Linked DNA regions of Mus musculus: region 1 is reported to be linked to region 2. The links are microRNA targets in miRTarBase. Many come from high-throughput screens and were not tested one by one. Region 2 holds a microRNA gene; the other region holds the end of a gene's coding sequence.

Region 1 (12,884 bases), not on the chromosome of region 2:
CTGGTCCTACCATTTACGCATGAAGTGAGGCCACATACAACAAACAGGGTGTATATAGAGAGATATTCTACACGAGTTAGTGTTTGTTAGAAGTGATAAAGTTGGATAACAATATTCTGCTATTAGATGCTGATGCTGTGAAATATTGTGAGGACCCAGGGTGTGAAATGTCAAGTTCATATTGTCCTACTCACTAACTTCCAACTCTAGCCCTCAGGGTGGTCTATAGGCAGCTGTCACTGAAACTACCTCATCTGTCACTCTCTTTTAATAGTGTGCAATCACAGAAATAAAGGAAAACAAGCAATACTATCCCTGGAAGTACACCTTCTGGCATGTTAGCTGTTTCAGAAGTAGTGTAGAAGTTGTCATCTAAACATTACCTTCTTTGGGGTCAAACATTTAACCCAGTGGGAAGAACATAAAGAAAGATGGGAAATGAATTAAATTTTGGAATCTGAGGTACATTCATGGACAGATTTTTAAAGTTTTTATTTTCTTCTAGTTTATATATCAATGAGTTTTAGGTCAGTACTTTATATTTTACCATGATATTTTTTACTATGAGTTTTGTCTCTTTACCATCATGACCAGAACACTAATCTATAAGTACACTAAATACTATGTACTTATATGTATTTATTCTCTTTCTATCAGTCTATCGTGTATCATGTCACCTGGTTGAAAAGCTAAGTGAGTGATGAATATAGTTGGATCTAAAGATAGATGTGCTTCATCAACACATTGTTTATGGATGATACACATATTTGGCTCTCAGTAATTTATCATTGTTCTCATAATTTAACAATACTCCATTAAGTCTATGTATGGTAGTACTGTTTTTTAATAAACTATTAAAATGTCCCAATATCAATTAGCTTCTGTCTCTAGTCCCCAAAGTAGTTTCAACATTATCTTAACCTTGTTTGGTATTTTCTATTAAAAGTAGATATAAATTCTATAACTGAGCATATCTGACATCATGTTTCTTACAGAACTCTAAGAATATAACTCATTCTAAGCAGTAATAGCATCACAGACTCACAGACCATTTTCTATCAGCCAGTAATAATCCAAAACATGCTACATAATATTTATCTTTTGTGGAGCAATGCTTTGACATACTATGATTGCCATATGCATTTTTGACCGATAAATAGAGGTACCCATCTGGGTATCAAATTATTTGTTTGTACTACCACTAGCAATAGGCTAGACAATCTTTAAGGGTCTTGTTTTGATATCTGGGTCTTCAACACTCCCCTGGTCAGCCTCCCAAGCATGCATCATTGTCTATTCTAAGTCAAGAATATTATATCCTTCCTAAGATAAACACATAGATTTGCCACTATATTTGCTTAGATTTGACGTTACTAGATCCCAGCTTAACTTCCATATTTATGAACATGAGTTCGTGTCTATCTCCTTTTACGGTATAAACCTGGTGTTTATTTACCTACAAAAGGCAGTTAAAAAGGCTTGAAGGAACATAATTAATATGAAACAGATTTCTAAGGCAGCATGACTTTGCTATGTTGCTATAGAAACAATGGGGATTTCTGGTCACTGACCTTTCAGATAATGCAAGAATATGCTTTCATAAAACTCATAAGAGTAATCAGCCTAGGATATTCATCTCTAGTTTCTGGTGGAGCATTTTGAAATCCCCTTTGCAGTCCTGGATGATTTTAGAGTTAAATTGTATTGTTCAGCGTTACTATAGAGTCAAAGTATAACTCTTTGAAGAAATATTTTTAACTGATTCTAATATGAGATCTAAGATTAACACAGTGACCATGTGAGCAGCAAAGAAGAAGAAATGTTGAGATTAAAGGAAACAAAGTCATCTTTCAAAAAGTTCTGATGATATATCTGTTCTGCTACATTTTGAGCTCTTCTATCATATGTTTCACTAACTATAAAAATAAGGCCTCACTCTATCAAAGTGTAACTAGAAATTAGAATTTTATCGCAAAACATTAAAGGATCAATATCATTGGCCAATGGAAATTTTTAGCTTATTCCCTTAATATGGTAATGCATTCATATACTAGGTTTTCACTGATAAATAAACACAATTAAAATTCCTAGTTAAGAAAGAATTTATCGCCAGGTGTGGTGGCGTGCGCCTTTAATCCCAGCACTTGGGAGGCAGAGGCAGGCGGATTTCTGAGTTCGAGGCCAGCCTGGTCTACAGAGTGAGTTCCAGGACAGCCAGGGCTATACAGAGAAAACCTGTCTCGAAAAAAAAAAAAAAAGAAAGAAAGAAAGAAAGAAAGAAAGAAAGAAAGAAAGAAAGAAAGAAAAGAAAAGAAAGAATTTATCTATTTCTTTGGCCATTTGGCAGAAGCCAATGATTCAATGGAGACATGGCAAAGCTTGCCTTGTGACAGATTATTGTTATGATTACATCAATATTTCAGTTTTTACTGGAAATAAATGAGGAAGATCATCAGCAAATGCATCATTTAACTACAATAAAATACCTGTCAATGGGTGACAAGATTATCTAATATCAGAATGGAAATCTGTCTAGCAGTTCCTCAGAAAATTAGACATAGTACTACCTTAGGACCCAGCTATATCACTCCGGGCCATATATCCAGAAGATGTAATAAGGACACATGCTCCACTATGTTCATAGCAGCCATATTTATAATAGCCAGAAGCTAGAAACAACCCAGATGTCCCCCAACAGAGGAATGGACACAGAAAATGTGGTACATTTACATGATGGAGTACTACTCAGCTATTAAAAACAATGACTTCATGAAACTTGCAGACAAATGGATAAAACTTGGAAATATCATCTTGAATGAGGTAACTCAGTCACAAAAGAACACACATGATATGTACTAAAGGTTTGGAATATCCAAGATTCAATTCACAGACCCTATGAAGCCCAAGAATGAAGAACAAAATGTGGATGCTTCAGTCCTTCTTGGAAGGTTGAACAAAAACTCACAGGAGGAAATATGGAGACAAAGTGTGGAGCAGAGACTGAAGTAAAGGCCATCTAGAGACTGCCCCACCTGGGGATCCATTCCATATATAGCCACCAAACCTGGATGCTATTGTGGATGCCAGGAAGTGCTTGCTGATGGAAGACTGATTTGGATGCCTCCTGAGAGGCTCTGCCAGAGTCTGACAAAAACAGAGGCAGATGCTCACAGTCAACCATTGGACTGAATATGGCGTCCCTGATGGAGGAGTTGGAGAAGGGACTGAAGGAGGTGAGGGGCTTTGCAGCTCCATTTAGGGAGCAACAGTGTCAACCAGCCATACCCTCTGGAGCTCCTAGGGATGGGACCACCAATCAAAGAATACACATGGAGGGACCCATGGCTCTGGCTGCATATGTGGCAGTGGATGGCCTTGTTGGACATCACTGGGAAAAGAGGCTCTTGAGTCTGAGGTTGTTTGATGCCCCAATGTAGGGGAATGCCAGAGAGGAAAGACAGAAGTGGGTGGGTGAGTGGGGGAACAACCTCATAGAGGCAGGGGGAAGGAGAATGGGATATGGAATTTCTGAAGGGGAGACCTGGAAAGGGGAAAACATTTGAAATGTAAATAAAGAAAATATCCAATTAAAAGAAAAGAAAAGAAAAGAAAAGAAAAGAAGAGAGAAGAAAAGAAATATCTCTTCAGATATAAAACTCTCATAGCACAAAGGCACATAAAGAAAAATAGAAGCATCCCAGTATTTGTACCTTGAGCAGTACAATCCACACTAGTGATCAGACATTTAGAAATTTCTCTAATGTAGTGGCACATTCTTCTTCTAGAGACTTTGTGAAGGCTGGGACTCTAAATCCTTCCACTTACTGGAGAGGTAGTCTTGATCAAACTCTTTAGCCATTAGGTGCTTAATCTTGTTCATGTAATAAGTGAGATAGAAAATTCAATTTCTTGGTATTGTTTTGAGAATTAAATGACCTAAAATTATGTATTAAAATCACACCTAAATATATATATTAGTCAAATAACGTTTTCTTAAAGTATATCCAAATTCAGGGACAGGGCTAGCATGATCATGCCAGTCCTGATGTGTTGCGATGCCCAAGGAAGAAAGAATGCAGACACACTCATCCTACATAGAAATACAACTTCCCCATGGCAATGCCAGGGGCAGTATGCTAAGTTTTTAGAAGAATGTATTTTCTTCCTTGGGATGGGTTTAAATACCACAGACTCCTATAAAAAGAAAAAAATTACTGCACTCAGGCTAAAGTGTCCCACAAAACTCCAGTAAAAGATGCCAGTAGTGAGTACTGGGTCTTCAAGTTACTCCCAACTTCTGACCTTGGTTCCTTAATTAGAGGTTCCCAAGATTCTCTGCTTAGTTTTAATGATTTTTAGGAGTAATAATATACAACTTACTCAGTATATTACCAGTTTATTGCAAAAGATAGACTCCAGGAGCAACCACATAAAAAAGACACAAAGAGCATCGTAGGTGTGTGTTAGGAACCTCAGGACATCTCTGTTTGCTCAATTGCCCAGAAGCTGCCTAAGCCTTTTATAGGGACTTTTATAAAGAAATAGTGAAGATGGATCTTAAGATCTAAATCTTTCCCCTTCCTGGGGGACTGAAATAGGGTCTAAAAGCTTTAAGTTGCTAATCATGGTTTCACAGTTCTGCTGCCCAAGGCCAGGACTCAGAATACATGTCTTGAAATATGTTAACACTTTGGCTTGTTGTGTATTTGAAACTGAGGGAAACAGAAGAAAGCTTTGGAATCAGAAAGCTCCTCTCTCTCTCTCTCTCTCTCTCTCTCTCTCTCTCTCTCTCTCTCTCTCTCTCTCTCTCTCTCTTTCTCTCTCTCTCTCTCCCCCCTACCTTCCTCCTTCTCTCTGACCTTTCCATCTCTGAAGACCCTCAAGTAATACTCACCCATCTCCGAAGGAAAGAATACTAACAGAAGCAAGAAAAATACAAACTGGATTTGTCAGCCCTCTCAGTATATTTCCATTAGGTGATATGACATTTGAAGTTAACCATAGTTCTATAAAACTGTTTATTCTTCTACAAAATTCAAACATAAAAATATAGTTTTCTACTATTTTTAGCCCTTAATGCCTAACTCCTCATCTATCATGCCAAACTTTGGTTAGCTAAGTTAGCTCTTCATTTTGCTCTTCTTTCTTACAGAGATATCTACTGCCATCCTTGTGCTGATTGAGGTAAATATAGTCCTTTCTCTCTTATACATCAGCCAGCTTCAGAAGCCAAATTGTGTGCATTTCATCAGAACAAGAGTTAAGAAATTCTTAGCACTGGGAGCTATGTGCAAACCACGGATGAGAGATAGATCGATAGATGATAGATGATATAGATAGATAGATAGATAGATAGATAGATAGATAGATGATTGATAGATAGATAGATAGATAGATAGATAGATAGATGATAGATAGATAGATAGATATCGATAGATCAGTTATTAGAATAAGAGACACACTTAGCAATCATATGGCACATAAAATCACAATGCTTTTAAATTACTCCTCCAGGAATTAGAGGCAGAAACATTCTGAATATGTTTCCTGAGACAGTGTCTCAAACCATAAGCCTCCTGGCTCTGAATAGATTATAAGTGTACTAGTTGTATGACACCCTATGTATAAATTCCATTATGCCACAAATAGCTATACAAATTATGAAGTATACTTGCATCTTACAATCTGGAGAAGAGACTTTTGAAAAGAAGGCAAAAGTTGAAATTCCAAAGTGTACATTTGATTGTGTAGTGCTGCCAATTGTGGGGCCCAAGCCTGCTGTGGACGGCTTTCTTTAAAGTCCTTCGTGGACTCATTACAAATCAAACAGCTCTGACTTGGGATTTAAATCTGGAAAGCTAAAGCTCTAGTCAAGAGGCATCCTCAGACTGCACTTCTCAAGGGCTGGACTCCTACCAGGGCTTGTGTGAACTAAGGAGCTTCCTTTAGGTGGTGAGTGAAACACTCTTAAGATAAAAGAAAGCTAAACAGCAAAAACTCATTAACTGTTCGCACATTGACAGCGTGGCACTGCTTAAGAGAAGAAGAGCTTTACAATACCATACCCATCAATAGCAGTTCTCAAGGTCAAGCACAGTCTGCCTCCAGTCCTACACTGCTCATTGTCATTGTCATCAATTTGATTGTGTTCTGTTTGTATCTTTCCTTTTTAAGAAGAGGGTACTTTCGGTAAATATATAATGTACCCTAAACACCATCTGGGCTACCTTAATAATGAATCCTTCATCAGCTTCAAGGAAACATAAATTAGATAAGGAGTTATCACCTATTTCCAGGGTCAAAGCACACATGCAACTGAACACTCCATAGTATTTTCTCAACTGGGCAGAAGGAAGTTCCAGTGGTGCTATCTTCATGGTCTCCCACTCCTCTTCTGTTCCTGTCACTGTCCAACACACATCAATTACTCATGACCGTACAGGAGCAACAATATTCGTTACAGAAAGTGTACTCTCTGCAAGTGGTTTTCACTGTGGCTTTGCTGGTTTTCTTCTGAATAATTAGGAAGATGAACTGAGTAATTTCTCAGTCAGTCAAGTTTTTGTCTTCATTCATGGGTAATTAAGCCTATCTAAAGAAACCTTTTCCTAAAAGATATTCCCAAATCCCTGTTATTCACAAATTGACATTGCCTTTTGTTCCATTTTGCTTTTACCTTTGCGTACCTGCTAAGGTATCATATACATAGCCCACTGCCTGGGGTCCCTGAGGAGTTTTAAGGTATTTCCTGGGTTCTTTTATACACACACACACACACACACACACACACACACACACACACAAATACACACACACACACACACACACACACACACATATACATGCCATAAATTCCAAATTAAGGTTCTTCAATGGCCTGCCTCTGATATGCTAATGTGTCTTATGAATATGTAAAAGTTCACTATCCCTCACACGTTTTAGTTCCAATGAAGTGTTTCCTCAAGTGCAGCCACAGCTCTGAGCAGAACTGTAGATAAAGCTGGCTGTGTTCAATCTCACTGGAGAATCCTTCCTGCTGTTCCATCTCTAAATCCCCTCGGTTCCTTAAGACATGTTGCAACTTTTCATTCCAGTTCACTGTGTCAGTTGTCATTAAATGTTCATGTTCCTGATATGCATGATTTTGTTACTAAAGTAAAAGGAACCAGGAAAGATTTTGCAATGGATAATATTTTATTTTATTTTCCACCATTTATATACAAACACAAGTTAATAAAACACATCACAAAACTGTAAAATTCATAAATTAATATTTATAGGTGCATAGTCTCATGCTCACATAATTTTAAAATATATATTAACAAATTTCACAACACATCATTCTTAGACAGAAAGAGTCATTCAGGACACCTAAAACTCTTGGAGCAAATCACAACTTCTTAAGAACAGCAACAAAAAGAAAACGATGAAGATTTAGAAATAAGTGGTAGTCACTTAGGTGTTTTAAGTTTCTTCTAACAATTTAAGTGTGAAGCCACAACAATATCCACAGCACACAAGACCCTGCTACCAGGTTTTCACTGTAGTGAGAGGGGAGCACCGGGATGCTGAGGGGCAGGTACAGGACGCCGATCACTGCTGATGGAAGACTTTGAAACACACTGTACAGCTTTGAGAAAAGGTCATGACTGGGCACATTGGAACTGAGCACTTGTACGCCATGGAAGAGCAGCCGGCAGATCTTAGGAGATTGGGTGCAATGACATTCTTAGGCTTCAGGCTCATAGTCTTGGTAGCCTTCCTAATATCAGGAAAAGAAAATAATAACAGCATGCCTTGTCAGTGAAGTGACAGATATCAACTGTCTGCTTCACAGTGGGGGAGGGCTCATCATTTCAATCAGATAAAATTGATCCTCAGAGCAGTGTTTGGAACTTATCTGTCATTGACATTTATTGGCTTTTTCATACGTATCAACTGTAAGTTATAGAGGACATCACCGTTAGATTATTAGGCCCAATTCTAGGTATATCATTTGATCTGTGCTCTCCTCCTGCAGTGTGAATTGGCAGGGTCTCTGGATTCTCTCCTTTGCTCTGCAGTGTGAGCTGTGCACACCTAGGTAAGCTGCATGAAGCCTCCTCCAGAGCTCATCTTTCGCCTTTCTCTCCCCCATTAGAACACTCCACCTTCATGAATTGCTTCCATGAAGGATCTTTCACATGAAAGCCCAAGCCTCCTGGACAAAATCCAGATAACATTCATGACAGTAATGACCCAATGTAACTGAATTTGATAGCCTTCCTCAAAATTAACTCTAATTAGGATTGTGCTGTTAAACTAAACCTATCATCAAACTCTTCTTTTTCCAAATGTAAAAATAAACTTAAATGATGGTAACTTGGGGCTCTACAGTTTGTCTAAAACCTTAGTTATGTCTTCAGCCTTAATCTGTCATTTTTCTGTTTTCTAACCATGATTCATAACTGCCCGTTGTTACTCAGACATTTCCATATGCCTTTGTTACTACCAGTCTCTTGTTCTAGAATGTTTTAATTTTGACCTACTATATCCCTTACCCTCTCCCACAAAGATTAAAATCATTTGCTCTAAAATATTTTCTTGATTGAACTATGCCAACCATAATGTGAGAGAGATCTGATAGTGGCAGGGTTTTGATGGTATGTGTTCCAAATTAAACACCTAAAGTGTTTTGCTTAGTTTTCTTTATACAGGCATTTACCTCTGAAGGCATTTCATAAGCCTCACTGCCAGGATCCACAGGCATGTCTTCCAGGATTCCTTCCTGTGGGTACCCCTCCTCACCCTACAGAGAGGGAAGAGAAAGCACAATAAGAGAGTGTTTTAACTTCTGAAAACCAGCTTGAAAAAGACACCTTATCTTCAAGGTGCTGCACGAAGTGTTATCAGAAGTGCATTCTTCTGTATTATTGATGGATTCTAAGTGTACCAAACCACTGGAAAAAACATTGTGCATGCATGGGTTACCAATCTAAAGAGTACAAATATTTTGCACAGGTAATTAACTACACTGGAAGTTGCCAAAGCTAAAGTCCATAAGTTCTCTCCATAAGCGCAATGCTATAGTAACAATGGTTTGTAGTCAATGGGTAATGATGAATCAAATAACAGTAATGTATTCAAAACTTTTCTGAAATCATTTGCCAATTCTCTAATAAGGATAGCTTATTTTTGGTGTAATGTTTAACAGGATGTCATTTGTAGACAGAACCCACATAGCATTTCAATGAAAAAGTAAAAATGTTCCAAAAAAGTAAAACAAATATTGACAAATTATCATTATTATTTATTTTTCCTAAATTTTAAAAGGTAAAGTACATGTGTTTTATAATTCATTGTTTTCTTTTCTTTTATTTGTGAGTATGTGTGTGGACTATGTGCATGTGTGGTGAATAATGAGGGCATCACATTCCCTGGAACCGGAGCTATAGATCCTTGTGATTCTCCATATAGGTGCTAGATTATAAACTAGAGTCCTCTGGAAGAAAAATACATATGTTCTTAAACAGTGAGCTATATTTTGAGCCCCAATAATTCATTCTTAAATGCTGCCAAAGAAATAGTTCTCTTTGGAAAGCTGAAGTTTGAAATTATATGTACTTGAAGTAAAACCAAAACCAAAACCAAAACAAAGATATGATTGGACAAAATTTCAGATTATCTCTCCACAATGCAGACACCCTAGCATTCAGCTTGACATGATGGAGCTTTTTTGTATCCTTCATCAAAGATCTTTTGTTCTTTTCCATTTGTTCCACCAAAGTAATTATTGAATGACAGAGTTCAGCAAATACTCAAAGAGCAACTAGAGGCTAAATGGTCTATTTCAATGAGATCAAAGGATGCTCAGCTTCTGTGGGCAATATACTCACTGTAAATGCTATCTCCCTCTGCTTTTATCATAGGCATAATGGACAGGTGGGCAGAGGGAAGAAATAAGAGTTGACACTAAGGCAAGGTCAGACTCTGAAGGTCATGCTTTCGGTAGCTTGGCAGGGCACCTTACAGATCATCCTATCATGCTGTATAGATATCAACAATCTCTGGTTACAAACCCAGAGAGGCCAATTTGTTTATAAGTTAAATAAGTCTTAAACTGTCCCCAAATCACCTCACTTCAAAATGTAGAGTAACAGTATTTTACATGGTAGTATAAGAATCCAGGTTTTGGTTGTGTGGTAGTTCAGCCCCAGAACTTGATCATAGGATGCACATTACAATTCCAGCCTAAGTTATCTTTTGTGACTCTGGGCATGTTACCACCACTCCTGAGCATCAACTAACTGTGTTGAGAAAAGACAGCAAAGAGATCTTTTCATTTGTATATAACTGGGAGGAGCAAGTGACACAATGGACCCCTCTCACTGATGTTTACGTGATTTTTATACAGCTCATAGGAAGGAAATATAGTAAACCACCTCTTCAGTGCATTTTCCAATGTAACTTGTGAGATTTATGTTATAAACTGGATAAGACAATATGAAAGGCCAACCCTGGGGGCTCCTAACTCTGATATTCCTACATTAGTAGAAGAGGATGTCACAGGCTGTGGGTGTCCATGTGTATAAGGGGATAACTGTGTTTGCCCTTCAGAGTTCATCCAGATAATGCTGAATGTTGCTTAGAAATTCCTTCCTGGGTTTACCATGAAATACAATCAATTAAAATCCCTTCATGTCAATTTTAATCATAAAATCATCCAAGTTGTAAATCAATAATTGTTGGTTTCTTTTTAAAAACATAGTATACGTGTTTGTGTTTCTTAGTACTACATTTTCCTGTGCTAAAGATTGTACTCTCCTGGCATTCATTTAGGAAACACCGTGTTCCACAAATCTTGAGGAGTTATCTTTATCAAAGTTTTTTTTGTATGTGTGCTTAATATTTTTATTAGATATTTTCTTTATTTACATTTCAAGTATCTACCCTTTCTTGGTTTCCCTGCTGAAAACCCCATATCCTCTCTCCCTCCCCCCTGCTCATCAACCCATCCACTCCCAATTCCTGGTCCTGGCATTCCCCTACAATGGGGCATTGAGCCCTCACAGGACCAACGGCCTCTCCTCCTATTGATGACCAGAAGGGAAGGCCATCCAGAGACTGCTCCACCTGGAGATCCATCCCACATACAGTCACCAAAGCCAGACACTATTGTGGATGCCAACAAGTGCTTGCTGACAGGAGCCTGATATAGCTGTCTCCTGAGAAGCTCTGCCAGTGCCTGACAAATACAGAGGTGGATGCTCTCAGTCAACCATTGGACTGAGCACAGGGTCCCCAATGGAGGAGCTAGAGAAAGGACCCAAGGAGCAGACAGGATTTGCAGCCCTATAGGAGGAACAACGATATGAAGCAACCAGTACCCCCAGAGCTCCCAGGGACTAAACCACCATCCAAAGAGTACACATGGAGGGACTCACAGCTCCAGCTACAAATTTATCAAAGATTTTTTTAAAAATTCACAGCTTAATTTGTAGGCAAGGGTTCCATAAAATCATAAAGGATCCATAATTTCTATAATAAAAGTGAAACCACGGATGTGTCCATAAGTTTATCTGTGAACAGAGAACTGTATCATTTAAAATATAAATACATACTCAAAAGAAGAGAGATGCTGTCTAAATAAAAAAGCAAGTGTCTTGACCTATAAAACGAAACAAAAAAAAACCAACCAAACAAACAAACAAACAAAAAAACACTAACTGGTAACCTGCATGTGGGCAAAACCTGTCAAAGGGCAAAGATAGAGGATCTAGTACAGGTCAAGGTGTTGGTACAGATTTAGTGGCCATACAAAAGACAGGCTCGCATCCACCATTTTTCCTGCAGAGAAGATCGTCAAAATTCTGTATCAAGGATATCAAATATGTATCTCCTCTTTTTCAGAGAGATCTGTGCTGCAATACCACCTAGCTTCTTTTGTGTAGCTTGTATACTCGTATACTACCTGGACTTTAATGCATGCTACTTGGTCCTTACTGTATATCCTGCATCCTACCTAGCCCCTAATGCATAGCCAGCAGGTCACATTGCATTTAATGCACAGCTTGTATCCCACTACCCCCCCCTCCATACCCCCTCCTTATCACTTGAATTCTGTCTGGTTCTTAATGCATAGCTTGAATCCTTCTAACATGTTTCCATTCTGCCTGGACTCCAAATGCATAGTTTATATCCTACCTGCCACCTCCACATATATCTTGCATGTTTCTAGTTCCTAAAATATAGCTTTCATGCTACCTGGTCTTTTCATGTACAGTTTCCATCCTACCCAACCCTCATAAATGTCTTGAAACTTCCTGGCCCCTAATGCATAGACTGTACCCTAACTTGCATGCTACTTGGCTCCCATGTATAGTATACATCTTACCTCCCCATGCATAGCTTGCATCATAATCTTCACTGATGTTTACAACAAAGTATTTTGTAAAGGATAATTCTTGGTGGCAATGTTGCAATACAGAAAACAAAGATTATTCACGTAAACAGAATTTAAGATCAGAACTGACCAAAATTTACAATTGACCCTGGTAATTACTATCCACTGTCAGCAATCATTTGTCACCTCCACAGTGACATTTAATATAAGAAAATAACAATGTTCTATCTACCAATATAAATACAGGAAAATAAAAGGTGATCTCTGCTTCAAAATTTACAAGGAGCTAAAGGAAAACTGGGTTTCTGAAAGACAGCTGGAAGAGTATATGGTATTTTTTCAAATGTAAGGGCTAAACAAGTACCTGATATCTACACTTACAACACTGAAAGCAGCAGGTCAAGATCTGATCCCACTGCTCTTATGCTAAACATATGTTTTGGATGAGACCAGTATTTTGTTATAATGTCAGGTAATATTAATCAACCCATTAATAAATACA
Region 2 (12,884 bases):
TATCACAAAGCTAGTTCTCTGAGCTTCTCCCACCATTGAGGGTTAGATAAGAGAGTTCTTGCTGGGCAGTGGTGGCACACACCTTTAATCCCAGCACTCGGGAGGCAGAGGCAGGCAGATTTCTGAGTGCAAGGCCAGCCTGGTCTACAAGACAGCCAGGACTACACAGAGAAACCCTGTCTCAAAAAAAAAAAAAAAAAGAAGGGGCGAGTTCTTAGCTGTGGACACACAGTGGCTCTGAATTTATTGCTTTCAGAATAACACCTGCAACCAACACTGAACTGTAATAATGTATGTATACATGCACACATGCACCCACACAGCAGCAAATATACTGTTCTTGGTGTGCCAGAAGAGATTTGTATTTCTGGTCTACTTCTCAAACATAACTTAAGGGATGAGTTTTTGAGCTATTCGAGTGTGTGTTGAGGATGGCAGGGTGCTTTCTAGCAGTGTGAGGCTATGGACAAACTGGATATGGTGGTATAGACCTGCAGTCCCAGCACTGTGACGGTAGAGGCAGGAGATCAGGAGTCTTGGCAAGTGTGGATTGTACAACAAGTTCTAGCCCAGCTGAGCTATTTGAGCCCCTGTCAGGGGCTGGAGAGATGGCTCAGTGGTTAAGAGCACTGACTGCTCTTCTGAAGGTCCTGAGTTCAAATCCCAGCAACCACATGGTGGTTCACAACCATCCATAATGAGATCTGACACCTCCTCTGGTATGTGTGAAGACAGCTACAGTGTACTTATGTGTAATAATAAATAAATCTTTAAAAAAAAAAAAGAAAGCTGACACAGTGGTTAAAAGCACTTGTTGTAGTAGCTTTAATTTTTTTTTTTTCATTCAAAATCTCTGGTGTAAGAATACTTTGTGGGGACCTGTGAGGTGGCTCTGCAGGTAAGGATGCTTAACAAGCTGAGTTAGGTTCCCAGGACCCACATGTAGGAGGGAAGAACCAGACGTTGTCCTCTGGGTACAGTGGTGCAGTCAAAGGCAGTGTATCTGTCCACACACTTTGCTGGAATTGTTTTGTTATCTAGAGAATATATTCCTAGTGTAAATGGAGAGACTAATTGCCTTCCTGCCTGTACTATAAGGAAGAGTTGCTTAAGCTCCTAAGGAGATGTCCACCTACTGAGAGCGAGTCCCACCTGGGACTGCACTGCCTCACTGTTTGCCATTGTAGGTCTGCGGTTGGCAGTCGGCAGTCGGACTGCATTGCCTCGCCCTCAAAGCTTGTCTGTTTAGGCTATAATCACCATCCCTCAGTCATCTCTCCTTCCCCTCCCAGTTCTCTTAGCGTTTATTTTCTACATTGAGTCTCTAGGATTGTACTTTCTCCTGTTTGGTTTTGTGGCAAGGTCTCCGTGTAGCTCTGGCTGTCCTAACTGTCCCTACAAAAGACCTCTTAACTCACAGAGACTCACCTGCCTGTCTCATGAGAGCTGGGACTACTTGAGTGTGCTAATATGCCCAGCTGCATTTTGCTTTTCTATTTTATAGTGTGGACACAAAGTAGGGACTCCATTAAACGTTAAAGATATTACTAGGTAAAAGACTGATAGGTAATAATAGTACAAAAGAAAAAGAATGGCTAGCAGTTGGGAAGTTGTTGCTGGCTGGCAAATATAGTAGCAAAAAAGAGTCTTCTCTTATTATTCTGCTTGGGGGGGGGTGAGGAAATCGTTCACTGGTGTCAGTACGCTTTCGGGGTAGCACTGGGCACTGCGCACATGTGCCTGCTATACTTTTTCTGGCCCTAGGAAAAGTACGGGCTTATTTGCCTTGTAGCAAATAAGACAGATGAGAAAATAAAGGGTACAGGAAGTAAGGGTGTTTACTTTTCAAAGTTGCCCCACAGTACCGTTTAACACAACCTGTTAGCTATCAAAAGAAAAGGAGGGGTGGCGGGGGACCGGAGCCTGGTAGCTTCAGTTGCCAGACCGGTTTTACAGCCCTAGCTCTACGAACTCTGGGGACCTTGGTTGGTCCAGAGCCTTATCAGAGATAGCTATCCAGACATCTTGGAACAAGCTGTTTAGTAATGTACAGGAGTTTCTGGGCAAACATCCATCATAAGCCATGAAATGATTCAGGGTCCGCAGTTCCTCTCTGTTCCTTTGTTAATCACTGACTTCTGGCTGGGGGGAGGTGCCTCCCCAATGTGCTAATGCATTCTTTTTGGATAAGGATGACGCAGGGGTTGTCCTAATAAGGACTTAGATTGAGAAAGCACCTCCCACCCACCCCATCCCCCTGAGAAGACGGGACAGTCAGAGAGAGGGAGGGCAGTTTCTTTTTTAACTAGAGATGACACAAGCATAAGTCATTTCCTTATTAATCGGTTTAAACCAGTTCTTACAGGAACTAGTGGTGATAAATGTGGGACTTCTCAGAAGTCATTCATTTTATTCTTTGTGCCACAGCAGTGTGCAGTCTCAGCTGCACTAGCCTCGCCCTCCTGACATAGCAGTGGCTCTGAGCTCTCTCCTACTTTCTCCCAAATGCATTACTGCTGGCGAGACCTCTAAGGAGTTCAGGAGGAATTTTATCACTATCCAAGCTTCACAGGATTGCTGTGACCCTGATTGTTGAATTTTGTCCTTTTTATGAAGTCCTTGCCGCCCTTCTTTTCTTTTTTTTTTTTTTTTTTTAATCTGAAGGGTAAGTAGATTTCCTTTAACATTTCTCTTGCTTTTCTTCCCAAATGTGTCTTTCCTTTGGTACCTGCCTCCAGTGCTGTCCCCGGCATAGGTCCGTCTCTGCAGAAGCCTTTTCAAGAGTACCTGGAGGCGCAGCGGCAGAAGCTTCATCACAGAAGTGAAGCGGGCACACCGCAGGTGAGGATCCCTCCTGCTTCTCCCCCCTCGGCAGGCATCAGCAGGCTCAAACTAGATCCGGAGCTCTCCGGGTTTTAGATGGGGTGGCTGAGGGAGTTTATTGGTCTATGTCTAGTGGCTTTTCAGAAACAAGGATGGGGTAATGGAAGACAGGATTCTGTTGTGTGTGATGCTGTCTTGATCTTACATGAGTTATTACATACATTTCCAGGCTAGGTTAAAAAGTTAACACGTGCACCATCACCAAGCAGTAGGTAAAATGGTTATCCCCTTTCATTTCTGCTGTAGGAAAGCAACTGCTTGCTTGCTTTTCTTTTCTTTCTTTCTTTCTTTTTTCTTTTCTTTTCTTTTCTTTTCTTTTCTTTTCTTCTTTTCCTTTCTTCCTTCCTTCCTCTCTTTCTTTCTTTCTTTCTTTCTTTCTTTCTTTCTTTCTTTCTTTCTTTCTTTCTTTCTTTTTTCTTTTAAATAAAGCAAGGCTTTTACCACAGCTGAACTTTTAACTTGAATAAACTGCCTGGCCGTTTTGCCTTCAGTTCCTGAGGCAGAGGAAAGAACCAGCAGATGTGTAGGCAGCACCCTGAACAGGGAGCCTGGGGGAGAGCAGCCGCTTTCCCTTGGCTTTAGACTTCAAATAGCTCTTTGCCGCTGTGGCCAAAGAGGGCTCACATTTATGTTCTAAAAGCAGCTCTCAGAGTTTAGGTCCTCTTCCCCTTCCAAGCAAGGTCTGCAAGGCTGTAGAGAAAGTATAGACTCTAACCAGACCACTCTGTCACAGTGTAAAAGGACAGCCCACCCTCCCATCCCTCCCTAAGCCATACAGGTTAGCATCAGCTATCCATCCCACAGCTTGAACTGACAACCTAGTGTGGAAAAGCTTGGCCTGAATGTGGATTTCAGCCTACCTAGAGACCGGTTTTTAGTTGTTTGGGTATAATAGGCAAGCCTCAAGTTCTCATTGTTTCCCTTGAAGTGTTGCAAATAATCTCCTTAGTGTTGAACCGAGGAAACCCTTTTTCTTGAATTGTTCTGCTTTCTTTCCTACAGGGAGAAAACTGGTTATCCTGGATGTTTGAGAAGCTGGTGGTTGCAATGGTGTGTTACTTTGTCCTGTCTATTATTAACTCCATGGCACAAAACTATGCCAAACGAATCCAGCAGCGCTTGAACTCAGAGGAGAAAACTAAATAAGCAGAGAGTTTTTATCTGCAGAAGTTAACATGGTGGAGTCCTGCCTTACACTGGGAGGGCTCTAACCAGGAAGGAAGGTCCCCGTTTCCAACCTGTGTTGATTTTTAAAACATTCTTCCTGAAAGCAGTTTAGTCCATATGTTACACTGACATACTTTATTTGTTAAGGTAAGGTGTCTACACCCTCAGTTCAATCCACGTCGTATTCTTTAGGGTGGATGTGATGTTCTGCTGCAAACTTAACAAAAACTGGCCTTCTGATACCTTCACAGGGCCACACAGAACCTTCTGAAGTATGTTAAATATGTCAGGCTTTTTAGGCTTGTCACAAATGATTGTTTTTTTCTAAGTCACCAAATGTATATAAGTTATATATATTGGATAGCAATCTTGCATGTCTATCATGGAACAATTTAATATGCCTTCCTTTCCCACCCTCAAAAAGGCCATTTTATGACGCATTGCACACCCTCTGGGGAAATTGATCTTTAAATTTTGAAACAGTATAAGGAAAATCTGGTTGGTGTCTCACAAATGAGTACGCCATTTTTTATTCTGTATATTTAGAATGAAGTCGTGAAAAACTTTATAAAGACATCTTTGATCATTCCGAAATTGTGTCCGTTTTCTTTAGTGCTATGGTTTTTTGTTTCTTTTTCACTTCTACAAAGCGAGTGGCAGCCTTGCCAATTAGACTTAAACCAGAATTGCCCAGGCTTTTATGTATTGCCTGAGAGAGCTACCTCCAAGGTGTTTTGTTGTTGGGCTGGAGATCTAAGCGGGACTATGAGGTTCACCTAGAGTGGGAATCTCTTACTTTATAAAAACAAGAAGTGGTGATGTATAAATCAGAGGACACTAGCAAGAAAGGCTTTTTCATGTTCATGTTAGTTTTAGCTGTTTGTACTCCGGCTTTAACAGGTGGAAGCTTACTTCTCTGTGTGATTTCTGTGTTTTATTTCAATGTGATTTTCCTTTGACATTTTTTTGATTGACCCTGTTCATTTTGTTTTGCCTGGTAGGAAAATAAACAGCTTTCTTTCCTAGAATTGGCATTAAGCCCCAGCAAACCAGAGATGTTTGCTTTGCTTTAAACCCTGCCTGAGCACCTCGTGCTTGCCCCCTGTCGTGGTCGTGACATCGCATGGCTGTACCACCTTGTCGGATAGCTTATCAGACTGATGTTGACTGTTGAATCTCATGGCAACAGCAGTCGATGGGCTGTCTGACATTTTGGTATCTTTCATCTGACCATCCATATCAAATGTTTTCATTCAAACATTACCCAGCATCATGGTTTGCAGTCAAAAATTGTGGTCCTTATGTCTTGTGAGACTTGGAGCCCTTATACCTTGGTACAACAGCAGCAGTATCAAGAGAAAACTTCCTAGGAAATTGGGGTAGTCGTCACAGTCATAACTAAATAAATAAAAATGAAAAGTCACCTTGCCTCATGGATTTTGGAAAGGTTGTCCTTTGTTGGCTTTTGGTTGGCTGGTTGGTTTATGTTTTTTTCTTTACAGGGACTAACAATTTGTTACCTGGCCATACTTGAAAAGCAATGCCCAAATTAACAATGAAATTTTTATTTGTTTGTTTGTTTGCTTGTTTATTTACTTATTTATTTTGAGATAAGACTTCACTATGGAGACCAGGCTAGTCTTGGACTCATAAGAGATCAACACACCCTCGCCTCCCAAGTGCTAGAATTAACTTCGTATGCACCGTGCTGCCAGGCTTAGACTAGTATAATTCATATGTTAGCTAGCTAGCATCAGAATTCCCACCTTACTTTGCAATTGTTTCATCTCTTTGCCTCACTATTTTATTTTGTGTTTATTTGAAGAAAGAAGATGTTAAGTGTGAATTATATTAAGTCTTTGGGATTTATTTATAAAACTTGCTTCAGGATAGAATATTTAAGGAAAAAAAAAATGGTTTCCTAAGCTAAAAGTCTAGGAGACTAATCAAGCCCTAAACTCTGTTCATTTGTCCTGGATTCCCGCTGAAGCAGTGAGATATCTCTTCTGTCCCATGGTTGCCTGGTTTCATTAACCACTATCATAAATATATAGTTATATGTCTCCAAAGATACTACTACTTAAGTCTAGCTAGTAGGAGCCCAGAAAGTTTGCAAGTGGATGGTTTGATATTCCTGAAACTTGGAGAGAGCTCGGGCCTTCTGACTCCATCTCATAAGTCTTATTTTGTTCCTCTGCACTCCAGCTGCATGCCCCATCTGCAGTTTATTCAATCAGACACTGCCATGGAATGGGTCTGGAATCTTATGTACACATAATCTGGAGTGTGGGGCTCTGAAGAAGGATACTTCCATTTATTTGGATGCTGAACATATAGTTCAGTGGTTCTCAACCTGTGGGTCATGGCCCCTTAGCAGTCCTCTGTCTCCTAAAATACATTATGATTCATAACAGTAGCAAAATTACAGTTATGAAGTAGCAATGAAAATAACCTCGTGGTTGGGGGATCACCGCAACATGGGGAACCGTATTCAAGGGTCACAGCGTTAGGAAGGTTGAGGACCACTGGCCTTGTCCCATCCTCCTGACAAGCTAGAAAAAAAGAAGACTGCAAATGGTGTATTTTTCGCCTGCTAAGTGTAGAAGCACCTCCTGTGGTGAGCATTCCTTAACCTCCTCCTGACTCCAGCATGCTCTGCTGTCTGTAGCATAAAGACAGTATGAGATTCCTGTCACCCACCAAACACAAAACCTGCGTTAAGCTTAATAAGTTGCTGTGGTAAATGTTCCTATAACTCCAGTTTTGTTTCATTATTTTGCTTGTCTGTATGTTTTGAGACAGGGTCTGTCTGTGTAGCCCTAGTTGTCTTGGGACTCCCCGTGTAGACCAGCTTAGCCTCTGACTCAGAGTTCTGCCTGCCTCTGCCTCCAAAGTGCCTGAACTAATCACACCTAGCCTTAACTTCAGGTTTTTAGACTGATATGTTTTTTAGTTGCGTGTATCTGTGTGGGGGTATGTGCACATGTATTACAGTGTCAGAACACGGCATTGCATGGGAGCTGGAATTACAGGTGGGGCGTGTTAGGAGCTAAACCCAGGGCTTCCACATGAGCAGGGTTTGCTCCCACCTGCTTGCCATCTCTCCACTCCTGTCTTCAGTTTTTAAATCATCAAAGATGATCTTAGACACATGCAGAAACGTCATAATGTAGCAAGTGCACCAGAAACTTATCGCAGGTTCTCCACTTCAAACCTAGGCTTTTAGCGCTGCCGCTAGCAGGAGCTGCCGCCGGGCTGCACCGGTCTTCACGTGCTCCTTTGAAGCCTTCAGCATCTTAGATAGGTTTTTGTAGTAAGGAAAAAGACTATTTGGCCAAACCTTTTAAATTTTATTTTGAGGGGTATTGTGTTGTGTAACTATGTGTGTCTTCTTCCCAGTGCTGAGGCTACATTCCAGCTTGACAAGTTTTGTTTCGGGTTTTTTGTTGTTGTTTGTTTGTTTGTTTGTTTGTTTAATAACTACGTTTTATTTTTGTGGATGAGCGTACACATGCCGTAGTGAGTTCCTGAAGGTCCAAGAACAGCTTCTGCCTGTCAGTTTCCTTTTCCTTCCACATGAGGCTCAAGAGTCAAACTCCGAGCTTCAGTCCTGCCACAGAACCCTTCCACCAGGCCAGAAAGCAGTTATAAAGTCCAAATCAGGCTCTCGTGGTGAAAAGCCTTTGAGCCCAGCACTTGAGAGGCAGAGGCCAGCCTGGTCTACAGAGTGAACTCCAGGGCATCTGTCTTGAAAAAAAGCTCAAATTCAGAAAAAGACTCTGACTGGCCCCTTGATCTCAGCCCCGGGGAATCTGAGGCAGCACAAACAGTATTGAAACTGAAACCTTATCTCAAGAAAGGGGGAGGGCCGAGAGGAAAAGAGCGTACTATATAAGACCGAGAAAAACTAGATACGGCCAGCATGATGGCTTACTGGATGAAGGAGCTCGCTGCCAAGCCCGACCGTCTGATCGTCTGAGCTCAATCCCTGGGATTGTGCATGGTGGGAGGACAGAGTCCACAACTACAGATTGCCCTTGGTCCTTCTCATACACCGTGCACATACACTTGTTAAATAAATGTTTTAAAAAAGAAAAAGAAAGTTTGAGCAGGGAAACAACAGCTTTCAGAACTGAATCCAGGTCATTTAGTATAGGTAACTATGTCACCCTGGATGTTCTGAAACTGTAGACCAGGCCTCAAACTCAGAAATCCACCTTTCTCTGCCTCCCGAGTGCTGGGATAAAAGTCATGCGCCACTATACCTGGCCCGACCTTTTTTAATAGGCACCAAAAAAGCTGATGCATTTTCTTCATAAATAACTTGGTTGTGTGTGCATGTGGTAGTGAATAGTGTAGCACAGGAGGAGATTGTCCTGCCTAGGCCATAGGGTGTTCAGATTATAGACAGGTAACACAGCCTCCGGCTTGACTTGCTACCGAAGAATTAATAAGATTGCTACTAAGGTAATTTAGGAGTACTTTTTAAACACAACATCCTATCTCTAAGAGACCACATAGCATACCTTACATAGGATTATCCGTGGTTGACAGGGGTGTGGGTTCCAGTCCCTTCCCTACAGGGTCAAGAGTTCACCTGAAGTAATATGTTTGCCTTAGAGGTGAGGCCACGCAGTGCAGCAAATAACCTACCTAGTGCATTTGCATTTTTAGCCTGTTCCGGGAAGGGAAGAGATCTTACAAAGCCTGTGATTCGCAGCTGCTTACTCAAGCCTTGAGAATTGCACAGGGCAGGGATAGGCAGGTGCCAACTGTTCTTGTTCTTTGACCCCACTGGACCTGCCCAGATCTGTGTGGGCATAAATGGGAACTCAAAAAGGAGGTTGTTTTGGATGGCTGCTGCTCCCCATCAGAATTCACTTCAGATCTGAATTTATGCAAATTCTCCCAACCTGTGAGAGTGAGTCTGTTGCAAGTGGCTGGCTGGGTCTGGGAACAGACAGAAATGCAACTTTTGAGGGTTTGTCATCCAGATCCACCAGCCAGTGACGCTGGAAACACGGCTGTCCCTCTCAGCATAGCCTTTTTACATGTAAAGGGTTTCTTCCAATCTGTGGCCGGCGGCCGTTGCTGACTTAGTCAAGCCTGCTTAGGACTTTGGATCATTAGGGCGCACTTGAGTCCTGGTCTGAATTGCTTGGGGAAGGAAGAGTTTTACAGTTGGAGCTTTACATGGAAATTCCCATCTCTCATTTGGAGCCAGGTGTCCAACCTATTTGTTAACCATTTCCAAACGATTCAAAGGACAGACAGGAAGTGCTTGGACACACTCCAGCCCATTTCTACTAATTGGCCTTTATTTGCGTTGGAAACCACATCCCAGAATTCAGAAAGGACTCCAGCCTCCTGAGACCCCTGAGCCACCTATGCCAACTGACAGGGTCTTTAGGGAGTTCCTGGCCTCCACTGTCGGTCTTCACCCCAAATTCTTGCTAATTCTGGGAAGCCTCTTGCCACTCTCTGCTCCCCTCGTTGGGAAATAAGCACTTTTTCTTGGAGTCTCTTTGGACTGACCCAGCTGGACAGCATTGCCTAATTGTATTCTAGGCTGTCTAAAATCAAAAAGAAAAAATGTTTTGGGGTAGCGAGCTTTTGTGAAAAGTGATGGTCCTTTGGCTGGAGCTTGGCACTCCCAGTTGCCTCCCTCCCTCTTCTCACCGTGTGCTCCATACCACTGTGCATTACTCCTCGCTCCCAAGCCTGGCTCACTGGCCATGGCCGAAGGGAATGGTGTCCTCAGCCCAGCCACCTTCCAAGAAGGCCTCGAATAAAGCGAGGAAGCCGCTCTCTGCAGCCCCTCCCCCACCCGGCTGGAGATGGGGTCCTGGGCCTCCCGAGGGTGCTCCTGGGTCACTTGTTGGAAGACTGCTAAGCCCCACATGGCGCAAAGCCTACACCGTTTGGCCATGCTCTCAATGCTCCAAGCACCTCTACTCTGCCCATTGCACCGTCCCCTTCCCACAGAGACCTCTCTGATACGCCCTGAACCAGGAAGCACAGTGGGTTTCTGTAACTTTGATCAGGATTGCTTGCTTTGTACCAGACACTGTCTTCAGCGTCACGTCAAGCTTATCGTTTAGTCCTCACTGCAACCTCAGGAGAGCACTGAGACTGGGTGGTTCCGCTGTTTGTGCATAGCGGGGGCACAAACAAGGAAGTGGACATCGAGGCCTTGGTGTCTCAGCTCTTACGAACTCTGGTGTGGAAATCAGTGCAAAAGTTCAAGTTGCATCTTGTGATCAACTGAGTTGGTGGGGAACGGAAGAAAGCAGAAAACCAAGCCCCGCCTAAGAAGCCAGGCAGCTTTTCAGCCCTCCTGTGTCACAGGGTTCAAAGAGCTGGTCCGTTCCCCACCCCGATCCCCAGCTTTCCTGCCTGGCCAGCTTCCCAGGGTGCTCTTGTGAGTAACAACGATGATTACTAAACAATTCATATTTGTATAGGCCTTTTTTTTTCCTTTTCAATTTTGGGACAAGGTCTCACTTTGTAGCCCCAGCTGGCCTGAGATTGGCCGAGATCTCTCTGGGGTAAAAGGCATGCACCTTCCTTCATTTTCGGAGTGGTTTGCCATCTTGAGTTACCTGTTTTAATCTTCCTGACAACCAAGTGAAATCATCAGTGCCTGGAACGGCATCAGCACACTTTAAAAAAAAAAAAAAAAAAAAAAGGCAGATTATGGTGTCAGTCCTCCATGATCTCAGCACTTTGAAAGCAGAGGCAGAGCAATTTCAAATTTGAGGTCATTCTGAGCTGTGTAGTGAGACCTTGTCAAAAAACAAAAAAAAAACAAAAACAAAAAAAAAAAACTTTCTTTTAAGGTAAAGGAATCAGTTTCTGATTAAGAAGTAAAGGATGTTGTCCTAGACTGGCATTAGAGCTGAAGGCAGCTATGAGTCAAGAGAAGGCGTGCTGGTCAGAGGGGACTTGGCAAGAGGTTAGAAGCTAGGTGTGGTGGCTTAGCCCGTAATCCCAGCCCTTGGGAGGAGAAGGACCAGCTGTTGAAGGCCAACCTAGGCTGGATGAGACCCTGCCCTGAGAGAGAGAGAGAGAGAGAGAGAGAGAGAGAGAGAATATCACTCGCTGGATCAGTCTACTCAAGTCCTCTACTCCTTGCTGTAGTCTGTTTTGTTTTCTTGAGGAGGCTGCAGATTGGATCTCCAGTCCCACCAACACAAAGCAAAGTACTTAATTTACAACTCATTTGCCCTTTTCTGTGTTCAATCTGTTTTAGCCACTAGAATATTATCTCTGTAAGGGCCCACTGTGTGCACAGCCTACAGCACGTGCTGAGTGAGTACTGTGGCAGTCTAGTTAGGGGCTACTTGACAAATAGAGGCTGGGGTATGGGCCAAGGCCAGAGTAAAAGAGGCAAGAGAAACGAGGACGGGTTAGGGTGATGGCTCGGTGTGTAAAGTGCTTGCCACACAAGCTTGAGACCCTGAGTGGATTCCCCAGCATCCACATCTGTACCCTATCCCTAGGGAGCAGAAGCCACAGGGTCCCCAGAGCTCTCTGGCCTAATTAGTGAGTTCTAGGAGAGACCTTAAAAAATTAAAGTTGTCAATGACAGAACATCTGACACCCACATGCACGCACCACTCAAAGATAGTAAGGGGAGACAGAAGATGGCTACCCTCTAAGAAAGATTTATAAAAGGCGTAGGTGTGGGGAGGTGCCCACTCAGGTTTCTCGATCCTAGAAATGTTATCCCCACACTGCTCAGCTGACACACACACTGGACCTTGCAGGATCCCACACAAAGGCCCTCCAGGCTTTTCCGGAAGTACCAGCAGCCTTCACTTGTCTGATCACTTGCTGAAATGTGACTAGTGCTTTGAGTCACAGGAAACTCTAAAACTTCCTCTCTCCTGTTGTGTCCTGCTGGCTGAGCCAGTGGCTCCTCCCAGTGAGGTTGCAGGGTGGTGATCCCTGCATAGATGGTCTTTCTATATAAGGAGAAAAGCTGGGTACTGGGTGTTGCTATGTTCCGCTGGATGTAGCCAGGAGCCCAGATGTGTATTCAAGACAGAGTGAGGGCTTTTCCCAGCCACCTCTGCCAAACCCAAAGGCTCCTCTGCACCTTCTGGAGTTTATGGTGAAGACAGCTTTCCACTTGACTGCTTTGATGCTGAGGTTGTTTACATGTTATTTAGTAGAAGAGTTGTTGCTTACTGAAGCTGACTGAATAGATATTCAGAATAAATGACATGTAACCACAGTGATACCACCTTGCAGGAGCATCAGAGTTCAGCAAGAGAGGCTTAACTTGTGTGGACTCCTGGGGTGGAGAATGGGGAAAGCAAATTCCACTTGTAAGTTCCTGCCTTGTTTTCAAAGACCACAAGGGTTCTCATGGGATCTGGCATAATGAGATGCCCAATCTGTAAAGATATAAGCAGGCATTTCAGCGAGAGGGATGCTGTGTGGTCTCTTAAGCATGTAGCAATCAATTCAATTCTCAGATGCTCTCTCTGCCTTTGCTTCCTTCAAAGATAAAGGAAGCAAAGATGGAGAAACAGCTCTGCTGCTAAGAGCACCTGTTGTTCTTCCAAAGGATCCATTGCCCTCAGACTTCTGTGGGCGCTGGGCATTTTCATGGTACCCATACACACACACATACAAGCAAAACACTTGTACAAAGAATCCATAGAGAAGATGTAGCTTAAGTGGCAGAGAGCTTGCCTAGCATGCATGAAGCCCTGGGTCTATGGCCATGCACTGCATACCAATTTTTTGCAAACCAATAATCCCAACATAGAGGAGATGATGACAGACTTAAGGCCACACCTCAGGAGGAGATGGCTTAATAGTCT

The links. Region 2 holds the annotated microRNA mmu-miR-21a-3p (CAACAGCAGUCGAUGGGCUGUC, at 5,234-5,255, shown strand). A microRNA usually pairs through its seed, bases 2 to 8, with sites in the 3' UTR of a target mRNA and lowers its output. Matches are read on the target gene's strand: a 7mer-m8 pairs with bases 2 to 8, a 7mer-A1 pairs with bases 2 to 7 and ends in A, and an 8mer does both.
Region 1: the mRNA of Snca is a reported target of mmu-miR-21a-3p. Seed matches in the 3' UTR shown: 7mer-m8 at 7,406-7,412.

What each region holds. Positions count from the first base shown.
Region 1 is chr6:60,724,400-60,737,283 of GRCm38, forward strand. It overlaps Snca (synuclein, alpha), which reads right to left. Exons shown (of 6, transcript NM_001042451.2): 5 at 8,705-8,788; 6 at 7,174-7,762. The coding sequence ends at 7,730. Among named protein-coding and RNA genes, the nearest start is that of Snca, 98 kb to the right of the region's middle.
Region 2 is chr11:86,576,453-86,589,336 of GRCm38, reverse strand. It overlaps Mir21a (microRNA 21a), which reads left to right and starts at 5,179; the gene lies at 5,179-5,270. Vmp1 (vacuole membrane protein 1) reads left to right here. Exons shown (of 12, transcript NM_029478.6): 11 at 2,739-2,841; 12 at 3,886-5,479. The coding sequence ends at 4,029. RefSeq lists an enhancer at 1,508-3,141.